2 linked regions of the Danio rerio genome follow. The protein of the gene in region 1 purifies or fractionates together with the protein of each later gene. This does not show direct contact. Links are inferred from orthologs where the notes say so. Each region holds a gene or a part of one and is shown on either strand. Other genes may lie near its edges.

Region 1 (4,279 bases):
ACGCTGATCTGGGATCAGTTTATTGTACGAAGCGCATCTGTCAGTCAGCGCTTATACATGCATTCACTGGTTCATAGGTAGCATACACACAGTAATGTAAAAACATCTTTGCGAGGGAACGCAAAACATCTTTGCGAGGGAACGCAAAACTTTGCGAGAGAACGCAAAAAACTTAGAAATATATATTTTCCTCCCACCCATTTTTTTTCTTTCACCCATTATTTTTTTTTCACCCACCCATTTTTTTTCTCCCCCACTACGTCCCTTCCGGGGGTTCCGTAGTAACCCGTGTAGTGAAAAGGTTCAGCGCACACATCAACTTATCTAACTGAGCTATCGTTACTCAGATCCACAAATGAAGTGGTCTGTTTTAAGATCTTTGTCAGTCAAAACATGCTTTGCTGTGGTTATGGACCCGTGTTAACATGTTAATCATGAAACGCTTTCTTGGTGTAAATCATTTAAACTTGTTTAATTTGCTGGAATTCTATTTATGTAACCCTCTTTGTCTTTGTTTATATTATATCTTTGTAATGTTCTTTCTTGAAAAAAAAAAGTGGATGAGGAGATTCCCCCTATGTGTAAAGCGCTTTAAGTGCCAAGAAAAGCACTATATAAATGTAAGGAATTATTGTTGTTATTAAATATATATATATATATATATATATATATATATATATATATATATATATATATATATATATATATATATATATATATATATATGTGTGTGTGTGTGTGTGTGTGTGTGTGTGTGTGTGTGTGTGTGTGTGTGTGTGTGTGTGTGTGCGTGCGTGCGTGTGTGTGTGTGTGTACATTGAGTCGTAAGGGCGGGGCAAAAATTCTCACTAAAACCAAAAGTTGGCAGCTCTGCTTGGTACAAAACCTGACCCTAAAACTTACCTCTAACCTTAAATGTATAATTAACTAATATTATCAATTGCTTAGATACTAACGGTGTTGTATAAATCATACATGCATACATACATACATACATACATACATACATACAATTCATACATACAAGCCAGGATGTTTCTGAATGGTTTGACCAGGGTTTGACACGAAATGACGGTACAACTTTCGATTCCATGAAAGCAACCATTTGACATTAATCAAATAAGCAAATAATTTTAAACGTAATCAAAAATATTACATAAAAATAAAATAAATTAAGATTTTAGCAAGATACACACATGTAACAGATCTTTTGGCGATCAAAGAATTATTTAGCAATAATAAACATATTTTGTGCATTTTAAAAGACTACATCTTGCAAATACAAATGTTATTATTATTATTTTTACGGACGTTTTTTCATCTTATGGGACTTTTATTTTACCCGGAAGTATACAGTGCTCTTTAACGCAGAAGGAAGTGTGCTTTCACAAAGAACAAGTTTACAGTTGAAAAACATGGCATTAGATGTAAAGTCAAGGGCAAAGCGTTATGAAAAGCTGGACTTTTTGGGTGAAGGACAGGTAAACGACTAGATCTCATAATATGTCAAGTCATGAAGCAGTACAACATTCGATTTCACTCATGCATTGTGTATTATTTCACTGCAGTTTGCTACTGTTTACAAGGCAAGAGACAAAACCACGAACACCATTGTCGCTATCAAAAAGGTAAGAGACTGCATTTAATCCGTATGTTGTGGCAAACCACCATGCCTTAATAACTTATAATGCGTTCAAAATGCAGATATTCTTTTAGTTTTACGGGTCAGTATGTGTCTTATTGATCGTTATAATGTTGTAAAATAATGAATATTCTTTAACTGAAACTTATTAGCAACATTAATTAGTGAATGACTGTAAAATAAAAAGTAATAGGTTAAGATGTATTGTCTTAGACGATATAGACGATATCAATAACGTTACCAATGTTTTATCTTAAGAAGAATTGTTTTGTGGTGTCAACCCAATTTTCAAAAAGAAAAAAATAATAATTGAAGACAAAAACGTCTAGTAACAAAGATAAGGGTGTTATTTGCTTGTTTTTGTGTGTGTGTGTGTGTGTGTGTGTGTGTGTCTAACTCCAGGTTACTTAAAAACAGTATTTGACGCACATATTTCTAACAAGACAACGTCATTCAACATATTACAACTGTTATCTTTTGATTGGTTGTCTTTAGTGCAATAGATGTAATCATTAGGTGTATATGTTTGTTCATCATCAGAATTCAGTCGCAAAGTGTGTTAGATCATTCATGAAAAAGGCTGAAAGTACTGTATATAATGGAGTTTTTATGACAGCTTTATGCTTTTTGTTTATTAATTAATTCAGACTGTCATGTTAAAATGTAAGCTTCCTGTTTGCAGATAAAAGTGGGACACAGAACAGAGGCTAAAGATGGTGTGTTCCTTTTTTTTTTTATCTTTATTCATTTTTGATTGTAATTAAGTGAAGTCTTACACAAAATATCTTACTTATCTTGTTATCCAGGCATCAACAGAACAGCTCTTCGAGAGATTAAGTTGTTGCAAGAGCTCAGTCATCCAAACATTATTGGTGTAAGTCAGAGTGAGTGTTTGTGTGTGTGTGTTTGTGTTCATGCGCACATTCGTTAATTATACACAGATGTACAGTTTTTGATTGTGTACTCATGTTGACATCTATGAACCTGGTTTCTCTTTCAGCTCCTGGATGCTTTTGGACACAAATCTAATATTAGTCTGGTCTTTGATTACATGGAGACAGATCTCGAGGTGATGACACAGTAATCAACTTAGACATATATTGTTTATCTCAGTAATTTCCAACCTCACATAGCAAAACGGTTAAGAGCTTGTCAACACAGCTAAATTAGATTTTTACCCATCTTAATTGTTTGGTTTATACACACACACACACACACACACACCCACCCACATAAACTGTTGTTTGTGTTGTGTATTTCAGGTAATCATAAAGGACACCAGTCTCGTACTGACACCAGCCAATATAAAGGCATACATCCTCATGACACTACAGGGTCTGGAATACATGCACAATCACTGGATCCTGCACAGGGTGAGACCTATATCACAGATATATGATTTATGTGACTTACTATGTTCAATACGGGTGAATAGGATTTTTATTTAGCAGTTATGCATTACAGTGAAAAAAAAAAAAAAAGCTTCCCAATGTTTCTGTCCTGAAATAATTTTAAGTACCTTTTGTTACTTAAAAACTGCTGTTCTTTGTAGTTTGTTTTTTAAATTATTAACGGTCAAAATGAATGGTAGGATGAATCTTTACTTAAGCAGCAGTTAGAATGAGCCTATAGTATAGTGCAGTAAATCCATTTGAAGCACAAGAATAAATGACAGTTTAAACTATATTAAAATAATTAACTATTGTTTGTCAACATTCATTGTCCTTTGCATTTTTCAAATGCTTATATGCAGCCTTGGTTAAAATAAAAACGTTTTTAACTTCAAAATTTTAAAACTTATTCCAAAAACATCATGAAGAATCTGGGACATCAAATCATCATTGTTTCTTTCTCAGGATCTGAAACCCAATAATTTACTGCTGGATGAGAATGGAGTCTTGAAGCTTGCTGATTTTGGCTTGGCCAAAGCGTTTGGAAGCCCAAACAGAGTGTATACACATCAAGTTGTCACAAGGTTTGTACAAGTTTCAGATTTGTATACATTTTCTTTAATACTTGGATCTTGATGATGTTTGATGTTGTGTTCTTCAGATGGTATCGGGCTCCAGAGCTGCTCTTTGGTGCCAGGATGTATGGTGTAGGTGTGGACATGTGGGCAGTTGGCTGCATTCTTGCTGAGCTTTTACTCCGGGTGAGCATCTTATTTTATTCAGTGAAAGGAACCTTGTGGTGCCATCAAATGGCCCGTTTCAAATGGTATGGTTCAGTTTGGTACGCTTTTATGACAGTTTCCACTGTCAAAAGGCGTACCGAACCGTACAATACCATTTTTTTCGGCACCCTTTCGAAAAGGTACCAAACAAGAGAAAGGGTGCCAAAAGGCGGAGCTAGACACGCAGCTGAATGCTATTGGTTTACAGAGATAGGTCATTCGCTTGCGCAACAGGCCAGAATGAAAACAAAAGAGCTGCCATGTTTAATAGCACAGCCGAGAGATTACGCTGTAAATATATATATATATATATATATATATATATATATATATATATATATATATATATATATATATATATAATATCGAGCCATGGTCGACCCGGGCTCAAACAAACCTTGTCGTCGGCTTGATGAACAGCCACAATGCCAAAAAGAAGATCAAAGATCAGATTTACCCTGTGC
Region 2 (4,279 bases), on another chromosome or scaffold:
TATATGCCATGTTTAAAGTCTGTGTACTAACATTAAAACTTCTCAACTTGCTGGGGAGACTAAGGTGCTTATTGCCTTCTAATAAACAGCCACATTATTATCAAAATTCAATGTGCCTAAATACTTCAAATGTGAGACCTGCTCTACTATTTTTACATTTATGATGACCGGTTTATAAAATCTACAATCTACTGCTCTTGTTTGACTAACTTTGACTAGTTTGTACATTTTCATATTTGGGTGAACAACTACTTTAAACTGTGATGTTGTACAGCCATTTTCATTTTAGGTCAACTCTCAGGTATTTCCATGAGTGCATCACACCACTTTTACTTCCTCTTTAAGACATGCTGGATATTTTTCAAATCGAATGCAGTTCACTCTTTTAATTTTCCCTTCACCACAAGGTAAAATCTTTTTACCAGTTTCAGGATCAAATATTGAAGGCTTGTATTGGTGTTGTAGAACATAAACAGGAAGGGAACCTAAACCTACACAAACTGGCAATACCACAGAGTAGATCAAATTAAATCCTATGTTTTGAGGAGACAAATGAATAAGAACACATTAAATACTTTAGTTGAATTCTTCTGTTTATTTGACACTAAGCATATTATGCATGAAGTTAAATCACAGACATCACCCGTCTGCATTCAGTATGACATATACTTTCAGTAAAACATAACTATTTGTAGGCAATGCCATCTTGCATGTAAAACAATACTTTCAAAACACAGGACAGCCTCTGTCTTTTAAACATATGTCTTTAAAAACATAAACAGTTTAAAGTTATACTTTTTTCAGATAAAAGAACTTTGCAGTCAAACTAAACCAAAGAGAATACACATCATCATCCCTGTAGGCAGTCATCGTCTCTATATTTCAGCTTCATCTGTGTTTGTGCAATTGTGCTGAAAGAATCTCCACATCCATCTGCTCCCACAGACTGAAGGGTCTTGCTGTCAAGGTTCAGATGTTTATTTCTGGGTGATGGGAAATGAATTCTGGTCCATCAGTTCTCCTACTCGCTCCTGGAGAATCTGCACAACTTCAGCTAAGATGAAAACATGCGTGTCGTCCAAATCCTGGATGATGAATTTCTTCCCCAAAGCTGACGTCTCATCCAGATATAGTAGAAACTGCTTCATAGCTGGATCACTGGGTCACATTTAAAAAAAAAAAGAGAGAGAATTATATATGAAGGTGCACTACTACTAGAGCATGACTTTTATTTTAAAGGTGCACTAAGAATAGAGGTTTGTCAAGCCTGTATTTGATGTTATTGACATCTGGCTTTTTTCAGATTGAGGTAAAGTGGGTTTTATATCCTGCATATTCAGATTTTCTCCTTATAATATAATTTCAGAAAAGTATTCTTTACAAATTCTAAATAGGAAAATCATATAAGCAGCCAATAACTATCAAAGTACAACATTGTTCACTGTCAGTTAAATCGTGCTAATGTTGTTTTGAAGTCATACTTAAATTAAATTTCAGACCCCATATTCAAATTAGCGTGGTAAACGATATAGAGAGCTTTAAAATGAACAAATATAAAAAAATAACTTTACCTCAATTATTTTCAGTTGCTTCTCAGGAAGTAAACCATCGAAATTGTGACAATAAACAGAATTAAGTTCACAAATACTGCACAATTTGAAAGTTTAACTGATCCGATACCGTGCTAAGGATGTTGCCTCGTGGTAAAGAAAAAGTTTTTAGTTACAGGTAACAGTGAATAAATCCAAAATCTAACAAAACGTGCTCAGGGGTAGCTTATATAATCGGTGCTCTTTGGGTAAGGGATTCATCAAAATGAACAGCAAAAATCCATCCAAAGCACTCGAAAAATATGGAAAAAATTTTAAAAAGCCTTTATTCACATAAAAAAACTACAGTTTTTTGCCTTTATAAAACAAAGAACTGTTCTTTTCCGAAACGCGTAGGTTTTTTAAAGATTAGCCATGTGAATAAAGACTTTTTAATATTTTCTCCACATTTTTCAAATGCTTTGAACTGATTTTTGCCGTTTAACAGTGAATAAATGTTAACCATCTGTCGACTGTAATTATATTCTCGCAAGTAACGTTTACGTTAGTGAACAGTTGTTCAGCAACATTGCTTTAGTGGCGTAAAAATGTAAAATAAAAGTACTTTTCTACTAGGGCTGCACAATATTGGAAAAAATATACATTGCAATAATTTTTATTCCGTGATATACACTGCAATATGAATACAATTTCACCAGATTAGTTAAAAAACGGTTTGTAAATAATTTATAATTTTAGACGGATTGGGATGATTCATAACATATAACAAGCAACCTACAAGCATAGATGAATTCAATAAAGAAAAAATTGCTAATTAAATAAACAGCATTTTATTGCTTTCTGAAGAGTCTAAATGTATTCAGGTACACATGAATTAAATAATCAGATGTAAAATAATACTGCATAGTCTTTGTTTTTTATAAACAAGTCAATAAAACGAATCATTATAGCAAAATGATTAATTATAATCCAGACTCAACATTGTGATCACATTGCGATATCGATGCTGAAACGATATATTGTGCAGCCCTATTTTCTACTAATCGGATATGAATCCACATTGTGTGTAAGCACATTAGATTTAACACATTTCTTAAATAAACCCACCGTTGGATTCTCGTTTAAATGTTGTATTGAGGTAAAATGACCAGTGCAGCTTTAAATGGCAGTGGTATGTAAAACTTACCATTCAACGAGAACTCCTTTCAACACGTTGACCATTTTGGACGGGGTGTGTTAACACTAACGTAACTTACTGCTGCTTCAGTAAAGGTACAGTAAAAGCTCTGTATGAGAGAAAACGAAATAGCAACAAAGCCGTCCACCATGAATGACGTTAGTCCTTACAAATATTTTACATTTTGTTTACAGCTCTTAAACCTATACTTTAAAGACAGCGTTAAAACATACACACTAACATTCTTATTGTCTTTTGCCACTTTACTTTGTTGCAGTGACTGGTGTCAGAAAACTATTTAGCGTTTAGAAACAATGGTTTTCCTCTACTCACCGACTAGTATTGGACCAGTCAACTCCACTACCCTCTGCTGGCTTGGAGCGCAGTTCAGATCCTATTTGACTGCTCTCATACCCTGACAGAAAAGTACAACACCCACCTGGAAGTTTCTCGCAATCCTGAAGACTTTGATTATTTGGGACATATCTGTTTTGAATTGCGAATACTAATCCCTTTTTATTTAACGGTTACAATAGTGTGTCATAGAGATTAGAGTACTCATTTGCATTACAATACCGCTACTGTGCATTCGTTCATTTCCCTTCGGCTTAGTACCTCTATTCATCAGGGCCCACTTCTCCAGCATATGTTTTACACAGCGGATACTCTTCCAGCTGCAACCTAACTGGGAAACATCCATTCACACTCATATACTATTCACCTATAGAGCATGTCTTTGCAGTTTGGACTGTTGGGGAAACCGGAGCACCCGGAAACCCAATGCCAACACGGGGAGGACATGCAAACTCCATACAGAAATGGCAACTTACCCATCCAGGACAAGCCACGGTGTTGCCCTGCTTTACAGTGAAAGTGTTTATTCTTGGAGAGGAAAGTTTGGATTCAAAACTTTATTCACATGACAAAGATTTGGCAAAATAAAGTACTGTGGTCAGTGAATTAGTACAAATGTATTGGCAATTACAGCAACATCAGTACTTGTGTGTCTGAGGTAGTAGAAAGAAAGCTGGTGAACCAAAAAAAACAAGGCAAGGTTTCATTAGCATGTCTATTTTGTTCAAGTAGAATAAATATTATAAATAAAACTGAGTTTAAAAATGTGCAGTGATGTAGTAAACATACTAAGTTTGATAATCCTTTTTTTTGTTATGTCTAGTTAAAATAAATGCTAACAAGTGCTCATTCAAATTACTCTGAAATGATATACAGTACAAGGCTTTGAAGGGGTAAAACATTAAAAGTTAAACAAGGATTTTACCATAATACATATTCATATGGCAAGCATAAATAATAATAACAATACAAGTGAAATGTCAGTGGTATTTCAAATGTACAGGACATTACAGTTTAGATGTCCAAAAAGCTCCAGTTGCAATTGTAAAACTTCCTTCCTTCATGGCAGTCATAGATAACACTATCTTTTAAAAAGTGATGCTTAAATCCTTAAGAAAGCAATTGAAACTGTAAAGACTTTCACTTAATTCTACGTCCCCCAAGAGCATCCTGAATAAACTGTAAAGTACGCTTATAA

The links.
Region 2: the proteins of cdk7 (region 1) and gtf2h5 purify together in Homo sapiens (affinity purification with mass spectrometry; 7 studies listed by BioGRID and IntAct, with this or other methods). This does not show direct contact. The link is inferred for Danio rerio from reciprocal best matches to the Homo sapiens genes CDK7 and GTF2H5.

Annotation. Positions count from the first base shown.
Region 1 is NC_133180.1:56,117,072-56,121,350, reverse strand, and holds the start of cdk7 (cyclin-dependent kinase 7), read left to right. Parts: upstream 1-1,357; 5' UTR 1,358-1,415; coding exon 1,416-1,481; intron 1,482-1,568; coding exon 1,569-1,628; intron 1,629-2,324; coding exon 2,325-2,358; intron 2,359-2,448; coding exon 2,449-2,516; intron 2,517-2,642; coding exon 2,643-2,711; intron 2,712-2,904; coding exon 2,905-3,015; intron 3,016-3,498; coding exon 3,499-3,617; intron 3,618-3,694; coding exon 3,695-3,794; intron 3,795-4,279. UniProt on the Homo sapiens protein: Serine/threonine kinase involved in cell cycle control and in RNA polymerase II-mediated RNA transcription. Cyclin-dependent kinases (CDKs) are activated by the binding to a cyclin and mediate the progression through the cell cycle.
Region 2 is NC_133195.1:28,728,448-28,732,726, forward strand, and holds gtf2h5 (general transcription factor IIH subunit 5), read right to left. Parts: upstream 3,113-4,279; 5' UTR 2,995-3,112; exon of another isoform or gene 2,969-2,994; intron 2,837-2,968; 5' UTR 2,772-2,836; coding exon 2,737-2,771; intron 1,159-2,736; coding exon 978-1,158; 3' UTR 573-977; downstream 1-572. Other genes in the region: protein SERAC1, read right to left, coding at 4,222-4,279. UniProt on the Homo sapiens protein: Component of the general transcription and DNA repair factor IIH (TFIIH) core complex, which is involved in general and transcription-coupled nucleotide excision repair (NER) of damaged DNA and, when complexed to CAK, in RNA transcription by RNA polymerase II.